3 linked regions of the Mus musculus genome follow. The protein of the gene in region 1 binds, or shares a complex with, the protein of each later gene. Links are inferred from orthologs where the notes say so. Each region holds a gene or a part of one and is shown in the gene's direction. Other genes may lie near its edges.

Evidence for each region.
Region 2: Gtf2e2 (region 1) and Polr2d share a complex: the UniProt entries of both Homo sapiens proteins name them as parts of the TBP-based Pol II pre-initiation complex. The link is inferred for Mus musculus from reciprocal best matches to the Homo sapiens genes GTF2E2 and POLR2D.
Region 3: Gtf2e2 (region 1) and Ercc3 share a complex: the UniProt entries of both Homo sapiens proteins name them as parts of the TBP-based Pol II pre-initiation complex. The link is inferred for Mus musculus from reciprocal best matches to the Homo sapiens genes GTF2E2 and ERCC3.

The regions. Positions count from the first base shown.
Region 1 is NC_000074.6:33,755,460-33,759,997, forward strand, and holds part of Gtf2e2 (general transcription factor IIE subunit 2), read left to right. Parts: intron 1-392; coding exon 393-500; intron 501-3,096; coding exon 3,097-3,279; intron 3,280-4,538. UniProt on the Homo sapiens protein: Recruits TFIIH to the initiation complex and stimulates the RNA polymerase II C-terminal domain kinase and DNA-dependent ATPase activities of TFIIH. Both TFIIH and TFIIE are required for promoter clearance by RNA polymerase.
Region 2 is NC_000084.6:31,794,355-31,797,935, forward strand, and holds the end of Polr2d (DNA-directed RNA polymerase II subunit RPB4), read left to right. Parts: intron 1-933; coding exon 934-1,029; intron 1,030-1,695; coding exon 1,696-1,774; 3' UTR 1,775-2,355; downstream 2,356-3,581. UniProt on the Homo sapiens protein: Core component of RNA polymerase II (Pol II), a DNA-dependent RNA polymerase which synthesizes mRNA precursors and many functional non-coding RNAs using the four ribonucleoside triphosphates as substrates.
Region 3 is NC_000084.6:32,242,713-32,247,250, forward strand, and holds part of Ercc3 (general transcription and DNA repair factor IIH helicase subunit XPB), read left to right. Parts: intron 1-251; coding exon 252-488; intron 489-2,086; coding exon 2,087-2,136; intron 2,137-2,776; coding exon 2,777-2,912; intron 2,913-3,039; coding exon 3,040-3,207; intron 3,208-3,854; coding exon 3,855-4,059; intron 4,060-4,538. UniProt on the Homo sapiens protein: ATP-dependent 3'-5' DNA helicase/translocase. Binds dsDNA rather than ssDNA, unzipping it in a translocase rather than classical helicase activity. Component of the general transcription and DNA repair factor IIH (TFIIH) core complex.

The DNA.
Region 1 (4,538 bases):
GCCCCAGTATTGGGAGTGTTGTTGCTGCTGTCCTTATCCAGATCAACACATCTTCGTCTTGTTATGTAGCCTCTACTAGTTTTGAACTTACTATGTAGATTAGGCTAGACTTGAACTCATCATGTAGCCTAGGCTGGTCTTGAACTTTTGGTTATCCTGCCTGAGCGTCCCTCATGCTGGGGTTACAGGTGTGTACCCTCCATACCCGACTTAGTTATTGATTTTTTTTTCTTCTCAGTTTATCATTTGATTTTTTTTATCAACCTGATTTTGTATGATTTCATGTTCTTGATCCTGGTATTCATACTGTCTCAGATATCACATGTTGTATATTCCTGAAAATATTAGTTTATATATGACTTAGTGAACGCATTTGAAAACTTTGCTACTAGACACGACATCAGCGGGGAGATACACATCCTCTAACGTTGGAAGAGATTCTGGATGAGACACAGCACTTAGACATCGGACTCAAGCAGAAACAGTGGCTGATGACGGAGGTAAGAGCAGTCTTTTTTTTTTTTTTTTTTTTAAGATTTATTTATTCATTATATGTAAGTACACTGTAGCTGTCTTCAGACACTCCAGAAGAGGGCGTCAGATCTCGTTACGGATGGTTGTGTGCCACCATGTGGTTGCTGGGATTTGAACTCCTGACCTTCGGAAGAGCAGTCGGGTGCTCTTACCCACTGAGCCATCTCACCAGCCCGGTAAGAGCAGTCTTAACACTAATGTAAACATTACTTCATTACAGAAAGGTGTGTCTGCTACAGAGTTCTTTTTTTGTGGTGAGTGTGGTGCTGGAGATGGAACCCAGCCCAGCATGTGCTAGAACGGTCCACTGTCAAGTCATCTTCAACTGTAGACGTGTTTTACTATTTTGGGATGGGGTGGGTGTCTGCACATGTGTGTGTGTCAGACGGGGAGAGAGGCGAGGAGAAAGGTGGGTGGGAGGCAAGGTCTCATATTGTCATCCATGTTGACTTCAGGCTCAGTGCACTCTGTGCTTTAGCTTCATGAGTCAATGTGCCTGGCTCAGAGTGGGTTTTTTTTTTAATCCTGTAATTTGTTAATATTTTTTACTTTTTCTTAAGAGACTTGATGTATAGTCTTGGTTGAATTTAAATGTACACATTTTTATAATTTGTTTGGCTGTTGGTTTCCATATAATTTTATTTATGTTTTAAAAGGTCCTCTAAGACTACAGTAGAATTGTGAAGTCTGTGTACCAATTTTTCATTGTCATAAATAGTATTTTGAATTGTCAAACTCATAATCTTATATACTCACAAGTTATATATTGCATATATGCTTTAGAAAATTTAAAGCCTAAGATGGGACAGTAAACCATTTTATTACATTATTAGCATTCTGTGGTTTGATAAATGAGTTATTTTTTCTAGTTACTTAGAGAAATAATATGATTGTTAATGTTTAAATAAATACATACCATTTGAAGAACGCCTAAAACAGTCTCTGACCATGCCAGTTTGCAAGTGAATGAATGACAGCTATTTTAGTATTTGCTTCTTTAAAGTTTATTTTATTTATTTTTTTTAAGGATTTATTTTATTATTATATGTGAGTACATTGTAGCTGTCTTCAGACACACCAGAAGAGGGCGTCAGATCTCATTACATATGGTTGTGAGCCACCATGTGGTTGCTGGGATTTGAACTTAGGACCTTCGGAAGAGCAGTCAGTGCTCTTAACTGCTGAGCCATCTCTCTAGACCTTCTTTAAAGTTTATTGGTGTTAACGAATACTACTTTTCAAGATCAGTGATGTATCTGCGGACCCAATGTGAGCTGGGATGTAGTTGTACATGTCTGTAATCCCAGCACTTGGGATATAAAAGCAGAAGGACCACGGCATCATTAATCATAGTGAGTTCAAAGCCAGTCTGGGCTACAGTAAAGCAAACAACACAAAAGGAATACCCCCTAAACAACCAGATGTAATCATTTATTTATTTATTTATTTGAGGCAGATTTTCTCTCACAAAGATCCTCCTATCTCTGTCTCTCAAATGCAGGGATTAAAGACATGTGCTGGAGTAGAGAGATGACTCAGAGCACTGGCTGCTTTTTCCAGAGGTCCTGAGTTCAATTCCCAGCAACCATATGGTGGTTCACAACCATCTGTAATAGGATCTGATGCCCTCTTCTGGTGAACATGAAGATAGCATACTCATATATATATGAAATATGTATATATATGAACTCATTTACAAAAATACATAAATCCTTAAAAAAAATAGATGTGTGCCACCATGACTGGCCTAATTCAATTAATTTATTTTATCAAGTCAGATGTACTTCTTGATTTTCATACTGTGAAGTGATTTGACTTAGTCCAAGTCACAGAAGGTCATGTCTGCTGTCACTTACTCACCAGTGACTAGAAGCAGAACCTGCCTAAGACTGTTGTTTTTGTTTTATTCTTTTTATGTGGGTGTGATTTTTTTGTTTGTTTGTTTATTGATTGATTGATTGATTGAAACAGGGTCTCACTGTGTAGCTCTGACTGCCCTAGAACTCACTGTGTAGACCAGGCTGGCCTAGAACTCACTGTGTAGACCAGGCTGGCCTCAGACTCACTGAGATCCATTTGCTTCCCAGGTTCTGGGGTCAAAGTTTTATGCCACTACTTCTAGCTGAAATCTTACTCTGTAATATAGGCTGGCTCACACTTGGCAGTAGTCTCCTGCCTCAGCTTCCTAACTGCTGAGATTATAGGATTTGAACTTAGGACCTCTGGAAGAGCAGTCAGTGCTCTTACCTGCTGAGCCGTCTCTCCAGCCTTACTTTGTCTTCTAAAAGAGTAAATGTTCTTCAAAGTAGCTATGATAAAACGAGTTTCTCTCTAAAGAATGTATGCAAATAATGTATGAAATTTTCATTTGCTTTTAAGTAAGAAGCAAACTTTATGCTGACTCACTTGGTCTGGGATCCTAGATATCTGGTGTTTTAGGTCTGCTAGTTTATGTTCATATGATTCTTCAGGATGCCACTGTGTTGGGTGATGCTAGAATTTAAGAACATACACATGGGGTTTGCTTTTTATAAATATATCCAAATTGTGTTATTTTTACAGGCTTTAGTCAACAATCCTAAAATTGAAGTAGTGGATGGGAAATATGCCTTCAAACCTAAGTACAACTTGAAAGATAAGAAGGCCCTGCTTAGGCTTTTAGACAATCATGACCAGCGGGGACTAGGAGGAATTCTCTTAGAAGACATAGAAGAGGGACTGCCTAATTCCCAGAAAGCTGTCAAGGTAATGTTTCTTTTCCTCCTGTATCATAACTATAATTTGAATTAGTAATGTTGTGGTTTTTTATTTTCCTGAGACAGGGTCTTACTATGTATGTAGCCCTGGTTGTCCTGGAACTGAGAGATCTGTGTGCCTTTACCCCTGAAAGTGGGGGTTACCATGAAAGGTGGCTACCATGCCCAGCTTCTTATGCTTTTTTTTTTGGTTTTTTTTGTTTTTCGAGACAGGCTTTCTCTGTGCAGCCCTGGCTGTCCTGGAACTCACTCTGTAGACCAGGCTGTCCTGGAACTCAGAATATCCGCCTGCCTCTGCCTCCCGAGTGCTGAGATTAAAGGCATGTGCCACCATGCCCGGCGCTTCTTATGATTTTAAGATACACTTGTTTTTATGCGTGTATCTTTGGGTAGCTGCCCATGTCAAGGAAAGGAGAGGGTGTTGGATCCCCTGGAGCTAAAGCTCACACTGCCTGCTGGGAACTGAACTTGGGTCCTTTGGAAGAGTAGCAAGGGCTTTTAACTTGAGTCATCTTTCTAGTCTGCTCTTCATGGTTTTAAACTTGAGAGAGAGAGAGAGAGAGAGAGAGAGAGAGAGAGAGAGAGAGAGAGAGAGAAAGAAGAGGAGGGGAGAGGAGGGGAGGGGGAGGGGAGAAGAGAAGAGGAAGGAAAGAAAAAAGGGAGAAAGAAAGGGGAGGGAAGAAAGTGGAGTTATTTTTAAAGTCTTTATTCTGTATACATGGGGCTTTAGTGGTCCAGTTAAAATTTGAATTTTGTGGAGCTGGAAGGATAAATGGCTTAGCAGTTGGGTTTGTTCCCAGCACCCACATGGTGACTCACAGCACTGTCTAACTCCACTTCACAGGGATATGACTCCCTTTTCTGACCTCTGAGTGCACTAGGCCCACACATGGTGCACATACCTGCATTTAGACAAAGCACTTACACACAAACTAAAAAACACTTTGTTCGGTGCCACAGAGCAGGAAAGAAAATAATCACCTTTGTGTAATGTTAACAGGTTTTTCGGGGGGAAGGGGGAGGCATGTGTTTTGTTTTGTTTTTATGTTGCATAATGATTTAGTTCTTCAGATTTCTAGAAAGTTTTTCACAAAGGCATTAGTGTTTCTCTTGTTATTTGAAATAAAAACTCTTCCAACAATAGTATTTGATAATGCTTACCCAAGGAACTAGAGGCATTGAAACATACCAGGGCCATTACTTACTAACAAGTTCTGATGTCCTAAGGGGTTGGCAGTGAAAGTTATG
Region 2 (3,581 bases), on another chromosome or scaffold:
CCAGAGAGGAGTTGTAGACGTGTGGAGCCACCCAGTGTAGATGCTAGGAACCTCACTTGGGTCCTCTGAACATTAGCAGATGCTTTTCCTGCTGAGCCATCTCGCCAGTCCTCTAGAGTATATAAGTTTTTACTACATACATTTTGAAACCAAACTTATTCTAGTAAGCTTTATTAAATTATTCAATTTTTATTTTATGTGTACGAGTGTTTTACCTCTGTACCACACAAGTGCCCAGTATCACGGAGTCCAGAGTGAGTCCTTTGGATCTGGAATTTCAAACTGTTGTGAGCCATCGTGTGGGTACTGTGAACTCAACCTGTGACCTCTAAAAAGAGCATCACTTAACTCCCGAGTTCCCTCTCCAATGCAGCGTGTATATGCCGCCTTACCCTGCTGGGCTCTTTTCAGGGTTCTTGGCTCTGCCTGCTGTTTTTCATTTGTTTTTTTGTTTTTGTTTTTGTTTTGTTTTTTGTTTTTTTCTGGAACTTGTTGATTTTCTGGGGTAGGAACAGGAAGTGACTTCAAAGGAGGATTCTGATGCCCACATAACCATAATCAAATATTACAATCTCCTTTTTGCTATTGATGAATGATTAGCATTTGACCGACACTGAATGAGAACATAATTTTTTTTGTTTTTTGAGACAGGGTTTCTCTGCGTAGCCCTGGCCGTCCTGGAACTCACTTTGTAGACCAGGCTGGCCTCAAACTGAGAAATCCACCTGCCTCTGCCTCCCAAGTGCTGGGATTAAAGGCGTGCAATACCACGCCCGGCCTAATTTTTGTTTTTTATTAGCATATAACTACACATAGTAATGGGTCCCACTGTGACATTTTTATTCAAGTATATATTTTGATCATACTTATTTCCCCCCATTACTGCTCACTTCATCACAGTCTTTCTGTGTTTTTATTTTCCGCTACAATCAGCTTGCTTCTCCAGAAAAAGTTACATAAGTTTGAGTTGGCCTGTTTAGCCAATCTTTGCCCGGAGACTGCTGAAGAGTCCAAAGCTCTGATTCCAAGGTTAGTACCGGATGGGATAGATTTCTGTCTATTTTCTATAGATTTCTATAAGTCAAATTGCTAGAACTAAAAGTTGTATGCATTTAATATTTGGGTTAATGACATGGCAGCATTGAATAGGAATGTAGTTGAATGGTGTTTGAGATAGGATTTGGGGATTGGTTTTGTGGTTTGTTGGTGGTAGTCTCAGGTAACCAAGGCTTTCCTTGAACATCTTGATTGTCTTGCTTTCACCTGTCAAGGGCTGGGATTACAGGTGTAAATGGTCATGCTGGCTTAAGAATAGTTTGAGTTGCTGGGCAGTGGTGGCGCACGCCTTTAATCCCAGCACTCGGGAGGCAGAGGCAGGCGGATTTCTGAGTTTGAGGCCAGCCTGGTCTACAGAGTGAGTTCCAGGACAGCCAGCCAGGCTACACAGAGAAACCCTGTCTCGAAAAAAACAAAACAAAACAAAATTAAATTTACATCATGTGTGACTGTTGAAGCTTTTAAAAATCTTTTTTCTATTTACAACTTTTTAGTGCTTATATAAAGGAATGTCAAAAACCATTCAGTTTAAACTTCGAGGCAGTAGAGCTAAGCGAGCTGCTCGGAGATGAGCCTCCTTTGACAGACTGGGGAAACCTCCAGCGGCCAAGTCACTTACATTTCTTGGTTTTCTTACAGCCTGGAAGGGCGTTTTGAAGATGAGGAGCTGCAGCAGATTCTCGATGACATCCAGACGAAGCGCAGCTTCCAGTACTGATCCGCAGACGTCACTCTGCTCCTTGAGTTACAGCACCACGGTCTGAAGCCTGGGGAGGCCTCATGCAGGAACATTGCTTCAGAAGACGCTGGAGCTTCTTTCGTAGTTTTTGCTTCACTGCGAGAGAGTGTCTCTCCAGTTCTCAAAGTCATAACAGTCCTCCTGCCTCAGCCTCGCAGGTGCTGGGATTACAGGTGTGAGCCAACACTTTCAGCTTGGCTTCTGGAGAGGAAAGAAAGGCTGGCTATTGATGCTGTAGGTGCTATCTTCACAGTGACTGTTAGACCATAACTACCATCTGCGCTCCTTGCAGCCTTTTAAGGCTGCTGTGGTCAGGCAGGCTGCCATCCTGAACTGCTGAGGTAGAATGATGTTCAAACATTCGTTGACTACTTCGTACCGTGGTTTTTTTGGACCCCATGTTACTATTTTTTTGTTCTTGACACTTCAGATTTTAATGTCAATTATTTTGTAGTTTTTGAAGCTAAAATGATATATAAAAAACTTGCATAGGAGAGGAGTGTTTTCACTTGGTTGTAAAGGGGAGAAATAAACCAGAACACTGTTTTTTTTTAAAAGAATTGTATTTATTTGTTAATGGGGAGAGGGTACATGATCCATGGCACATGTGTGGGGGGCAGGAGTCAGTTCTGTCCAAAGTCTTGTACATACTAGAAAAGTGCTGTACCATTGAGCAACACTCTAGCCCAGAAGTTGCTTTTGTTTGTTTGTGTGTTGTACATATGTATGTGCAAGTGTGTGCATCTATGTAAGGAGACTAGCAGAGGACATTGGGTGTATACCCATATTTCTGTCCTTTGAAATGGGCTCTGTCTCACTGAACCTATATCTAGGCTGGATGACCAAAAGCCCCAACAATCCTGTCTTCACTTTCTCTTTTTGCTTGTACCTTGGGGTTCAAGGCATGTACAGTGGGAACACAGCAGTCTTTTCACTAACGGTAGTGCTAATGGACAGACTCAGGTCTTCATGCATAGCACATACCCTTATTCACTGAGCCAGTCCCCAGCCACCCTGCAATGTTTAAAGAGTGAGAGACAGTTGACTAAAAGAACTTTGCCACCACTCTGCCTGCCCTGGACACAGGATGGAAACTCACCATGGGGAGCACCGTCTAGGGTCCTTAGCCTTGTGGTAGACATACTTCATCTTAAGGGAAAGGAGGCTGTCTTGGAGAATGTATTTGAAGTGGCCTTAAAGAGTTCATATTGTCACCTTCAAATTAAGATAGGTCAGATTGGAAGACCTAAACACTAAAGACTCCTCATAAGGTAGATACCTAATCCAAACCTCTGATCCAATACTGAGTGACACGTATTCTGTTACCGAGGTGATATGGAAGGAGCGAGTGACTGTGCTCCTGTCTCAGTGCTAGAAATCAGGACCTCTGTGTCTTCTCATCTTAAATCCCAGCCTGTGGAGTTTGAAGTCAGCCTGCCAGGGCAGCCAAACATTCATACATACATACATACATATATACATACATACATACATACATAAGTCAGCCTGCCAGGGCAGCCATACATACATACATACATACATACATACATACATACATGCATACATACAAGGTTGAACTTCTACCTGACCCTACCAAACATTCCTCTCCCCCATCCTCCACCTCCTTTCTGGAGGGAAAGTAAGGGGAAATAGTAGAAAAAAATGCTTGAAAGGAGACAGCTCAAGAGTCGTGTGAGGGATTAACATTAAGGGATGCTAGCAGGCTGGATCTCAGGAAGTCCTGTCTCGGATCACGGGCTACTGTGATTCAAGATGGTGGTGCTTG
Region 3 (4,538 bases), on another chromosome or scaffold:
AGGTGTGTGCTGAAGGCTGAGCCATACAACTAGGAGAAGGTTTTTTCTTTTCTTTTCTTTTCTTTTCTTTTCTTTTCTTTTCTTTTCTTTTCTTTCCTTTCCTTTCCTTTCCTTTCCTTTCCTTTCCTTTCCTTTTTTTTTTTTTAGTAAATAACACAGTCTCAGGTTCGCAGTGTGATCAGAAATCCTGTGACATAGTCTCTGCAGCTCATTGATATTCTTGCCTGTTGTGTTCCCTTGATGCCTTTTAGGCTCCTGATGGCCACATTTTCTTGGAAGCCTTCTCTCCAGTTTACAAATATGCCCAAGACTTCCTGGTGGCAATTGCAGAGCCGGTGTGCCGGCCTACTCATGTACATGAATACAAGCTAACCGCCTACTCCCTCTATGCAGCGGTCAGTGTTGGGCTGCAAACCAGTGACATTACTGAGTACCTCAGAAAGCTCAGTAAGACTGGAGTTCCTGATGGAATTATCCAGTTTATTAAGGTGAGTTACTAGCAACTCTTGTGCTCAGGTGCGTACTTACTATATGTTGTCATTGAAATGTCTGATTTGTGTTTCCTTTGATAGCAAAATAGCTTCGTGCCTAGCTGCTGCCACTTTAGATCCAGCCATGGTTCTGGCTGAGATCATGTGTTTTGTGGGCTGCTCCAAGCCATGGGAGTAGAAGTTCAGGTCCACTATGGCCAGGGTTACTTGAGAATCCAGCTCTGGATAGATGGAACTATAGCCTGCATGTACATATCAGAATCCTAACCCCAAATACCTGTGTGTTAGTAAGACTAAATGAGGTCATAAATGTCTCCCCATTCAGAAGGTGCTTGTCTTTATTAGGAATTATACAGTTGTCATAAGTCCCTTCTTTATGGGACTGTGTAGAGAGAAGGTGACTCTCTTCTAGCCAGGAGACCTTACCACAGCCTGAATTAGCTGGTCCTGGTCCATTGATCCTGAGTAGTTAGAACTCTGAGAACATAAGCTTTTGTTGTGGAGTTTTTTTGGTGGTTAGCTGTTACAGGAAGTGAGCTCCATGTAAGGTAAATACTTAAGATCCATGGTAAATTAAGTGTATTAGGGTAAGACAAAACTTGAAATGTTGACCTGAAGAGGGTTTCATGGGAACAGCAGTTGAATATAGGTGTATATTATTCACAGAAGATAGGAGAACAGTTTTTGTTAGTATTGGCTAATCTGAAAGGACTTCAAATTAGATTTCAGTCTGGAAGCAGAAGAGTGTGCCATGAGCAGAAGCCTGGGAGCACGACAGAGTTCTCTGTTCTGTGATGCAGAAGGATGCTGACGAAGAAAGCACCAGGGCTAGGCCTTTGGTCTACATGGTCTAAAGGACGGTAGTCGTGCTGGGGCAGTGCTGTTGTGCTCTGAGGGGCAGCTCACAATCTCAGTAGCAAGTTATGGCGAACACACAAACGACCTGCTCCCTTCCAGCAGATTGGGGACTTAAACTCTATTCCCTGTCCCTCAGAGGCTTACACTGTGCTGGCAAGGTGGCACGCGCCCCTTAGTGCCAGATGTCTAGGGAGGAGGATTGTAAGGTTAATTTCTAACTTGTCTCAAAACTTAAAAATAGAGGTGGTGGTGGTTCGGGATATAGCTTCATGGTCTTGAGTTCACTTGCCAATACAATGAAGAAAAGATGGCATTCTTTAGGTTGTGGAAATGGAGAACATTGGTGTGAAGGTCTAAACATTTGTGGTATTTGAACTTACTGTGTGTAGCAGGTCCTGCCAGCACTCACTGTGCCTGGTGACTTCTGGGGAAGCAGGATGGGCTTCCAGGTCGGGATGGGGGCTGTGGCCATGCAGGGGAAAGGAAAACGGAAAACACAGCAGAGGTTGTAAATAGTGGTTTGTAAATAAAAAGCTAGGCATATGAATTAGGCAAAGGATGGGTTTATCCCAAAACTATGGAGGTCAACGGACAAAAGCCCCCTTGAGGCAGCTGTGGCTGTGGCTGATGTTTTCCGAAAGTACACCCACCGGTCCCTTGGCCGGGTGCTGAGCCTGGTGGAGTAGCATGCTCTGAGCGCTGACGTAGCCTGTCTCTTGCTGTTCCTCTGCTTACAGCTGTGCACTGTCAGCTATGGGAAGGTCAAGCTGGTCCTCAAGCACAACAGGTGAGCACTGCCCTCTGTGTGCCAGCCGGGAGGGAGGGAGGGAGGGAGGGAGGGAGGGAGGGAGGGAAGGCTGGGAGGGCAGGAGGGAGGGGAGAGAGGGAGGGAGGAAGGGCAGAGAGGGCGGGAGGGAGGGCGGGCTCACACCGTTCCTGAGACATAGATGGGGAGTTGAGGGGACCCCGGAAGGAGAAGGAGGCCCTGCAGCGGAGTGACCGTCAAGCGTCTGGAAGTTAACATTGGCAGTGATGATGATGCACACAGGCAGTAGGGTTTCCTTTTTACATACAGATGCTTTAAAGAAGAGCGTGAATCGCAGCGACCACACTCAAGCTGAGAGCATTTCTGACCTTTGAGTTTAACTCTGCTCCTTTCCCGGGTGCAACCAGGTTTAGGAGAGTTCACAAGGAAGGGCGTTTTCACTCCTGCTGCTGACATGCTGACTTAACTTCAGGGTGCCGTTCTCCTCTGACCCTCAGCCTGTTAGAGCTTTGCCCATAGCTCCTCTCTCTGATTTGACAAAGGTGTGGGGAGAGTCATTACGAGGCTGTAATTTTCAGATCACCCAACTGAGTTACAATTGCAGAATGTTCTAGAAATGCAGTGCTGGCCAGCAGGGACTCCCTTCCTCTCCTGCTTGTAGGTACTTTGTTGAAAGTTCCCACCCTGATGTTATCCAGCATCTTCTTCAAGACCCAGTGATCCGGGAATGTCGCTTGAGGAACGCCGAGGGCGAGGCCACCGAACTCATCACAGAGACTTTTACAAGCAAATCTGCTGTGCGTGAGCTCCTGGGTTTCCTGGGGGCTGGGCACTTAGGACCTCAGTTTTCCTGGTCCCCAGCACAGCTTCAGTTCATGGTTGGTAACAAGGTGCAGAGTCTGGATTCCTACCTTTCTCTCACAGATTTCTAAGACGGCGGCGGAAGGCAGTGGCGGGCCTTCTACTTCGCAGGGGGTAGATGCACAGGCCACGTCTGACATACCCAAAGACCTGTTTGATTTTTATGAGCAAATGGACAAGGATGAGGAGGAGGAGGAAGAGACACAGACAGTGTCCTTTGAAGTTAAGCAGGTTAGTGACTGCTTCCTGGTTACCAGTCTTGCCTTGTGTCAGCACCCTCCACTGTGAGGTAAAGAAAGGGACCCCTGTATGTTTCTGTTTGGGTTCTACACAAGTATAAGCCATGGCATTCTCCTGGTGGGAGTTATGGGCTGAGAGTCCTTCCGTGGCCTAGGAAGCTGCTCTCCATAGGATCCATTTTGGTTCAGATTAAAGTTCATTTTGAGGAGACCAGGAATACGGATCTGCTGGTAGAATAACTTTCTTCGTAGCTGTAAGTCCCTGGGTTCAATCTCTAGCACCTCGTAAACTACGCACGGTAGTGTGTGTCACAGCCTGAAAGTGGGAGGGGAGGAGGGATCAGCAGTTGACGGTCATCCTCCACCAGACAGAACTTAAGGTTGGCCTGGAATAGATGGGACTTGACTCACAAAAACCAAAACAACAAGAAAAAAAATCAACTAGCCAAATAGTACATTGATTTTGACTGGGTTACTAGTTTGTGCTGCCTTTCTGTGCAAACCTAGTTGTTAGCAAGCAAGGTCTGAAATTGTATACATCCAGATAAAAGGCCAGGTTTCGATCATGCGGCCCTTTTGAATATTGTCTCGGACACTCTGGAGTTGAGATCGTCACACGTCCTTCCTGCTGGCTACTAGGAAATGATCGAGGAGCTGCAGAAGCGCTGCATCTGCTTAGAGTACCCGCTGCTGGCAGAGTATGACTTCCGGAATGACACTCTCAATCCTGACATCAACATTGACCTGAAGCCCACAGCCGTACTCAGACCCTATCAGGAGAAGAGCCTGCGGAAGATGTTTGGGAACGGACGAGCACGCTCAGGAGTCATTGTTCTTCCCTGTGGTAAGTGAGGAAGGCTCCATCTTTGTCTGCCAGCTGCCTCCTCCCTGCTCGGTGTGTTTCCCTGTGTAGCACTTTGCCTTTAAGTGGCCAAGGTCACTTCCTCATTTGGTAGTTGACTGACGCTTATTGAAGTACTTGCTTTGTGAAGCTCTTGGTCTAGGCCAGTGGCCCTCAATGTCCCTAATGCTGGGACCCTTTAATACAGTTCCTTATGTTATGGCGACTCCCACCCATAAACTTATTTCATTGCTACTTCATAACTGTAATTTTGCTATTGTTATGAATTGTAATGTAAATATGATATTCAGAATGACTTTATGTGACCCCTGTGAAAGGGTCATTCAATCTCAAAAGGGGTTGAGACCCAGAGGTTACGATCCATTGGTCTAGACCCTGTGGGTATCAGATCTCATTCAGCTTGGGTAGCGAATGACTGAAATAGCTCTGCTAAGACACTTATGAAGAGTCTTCCTGATAAT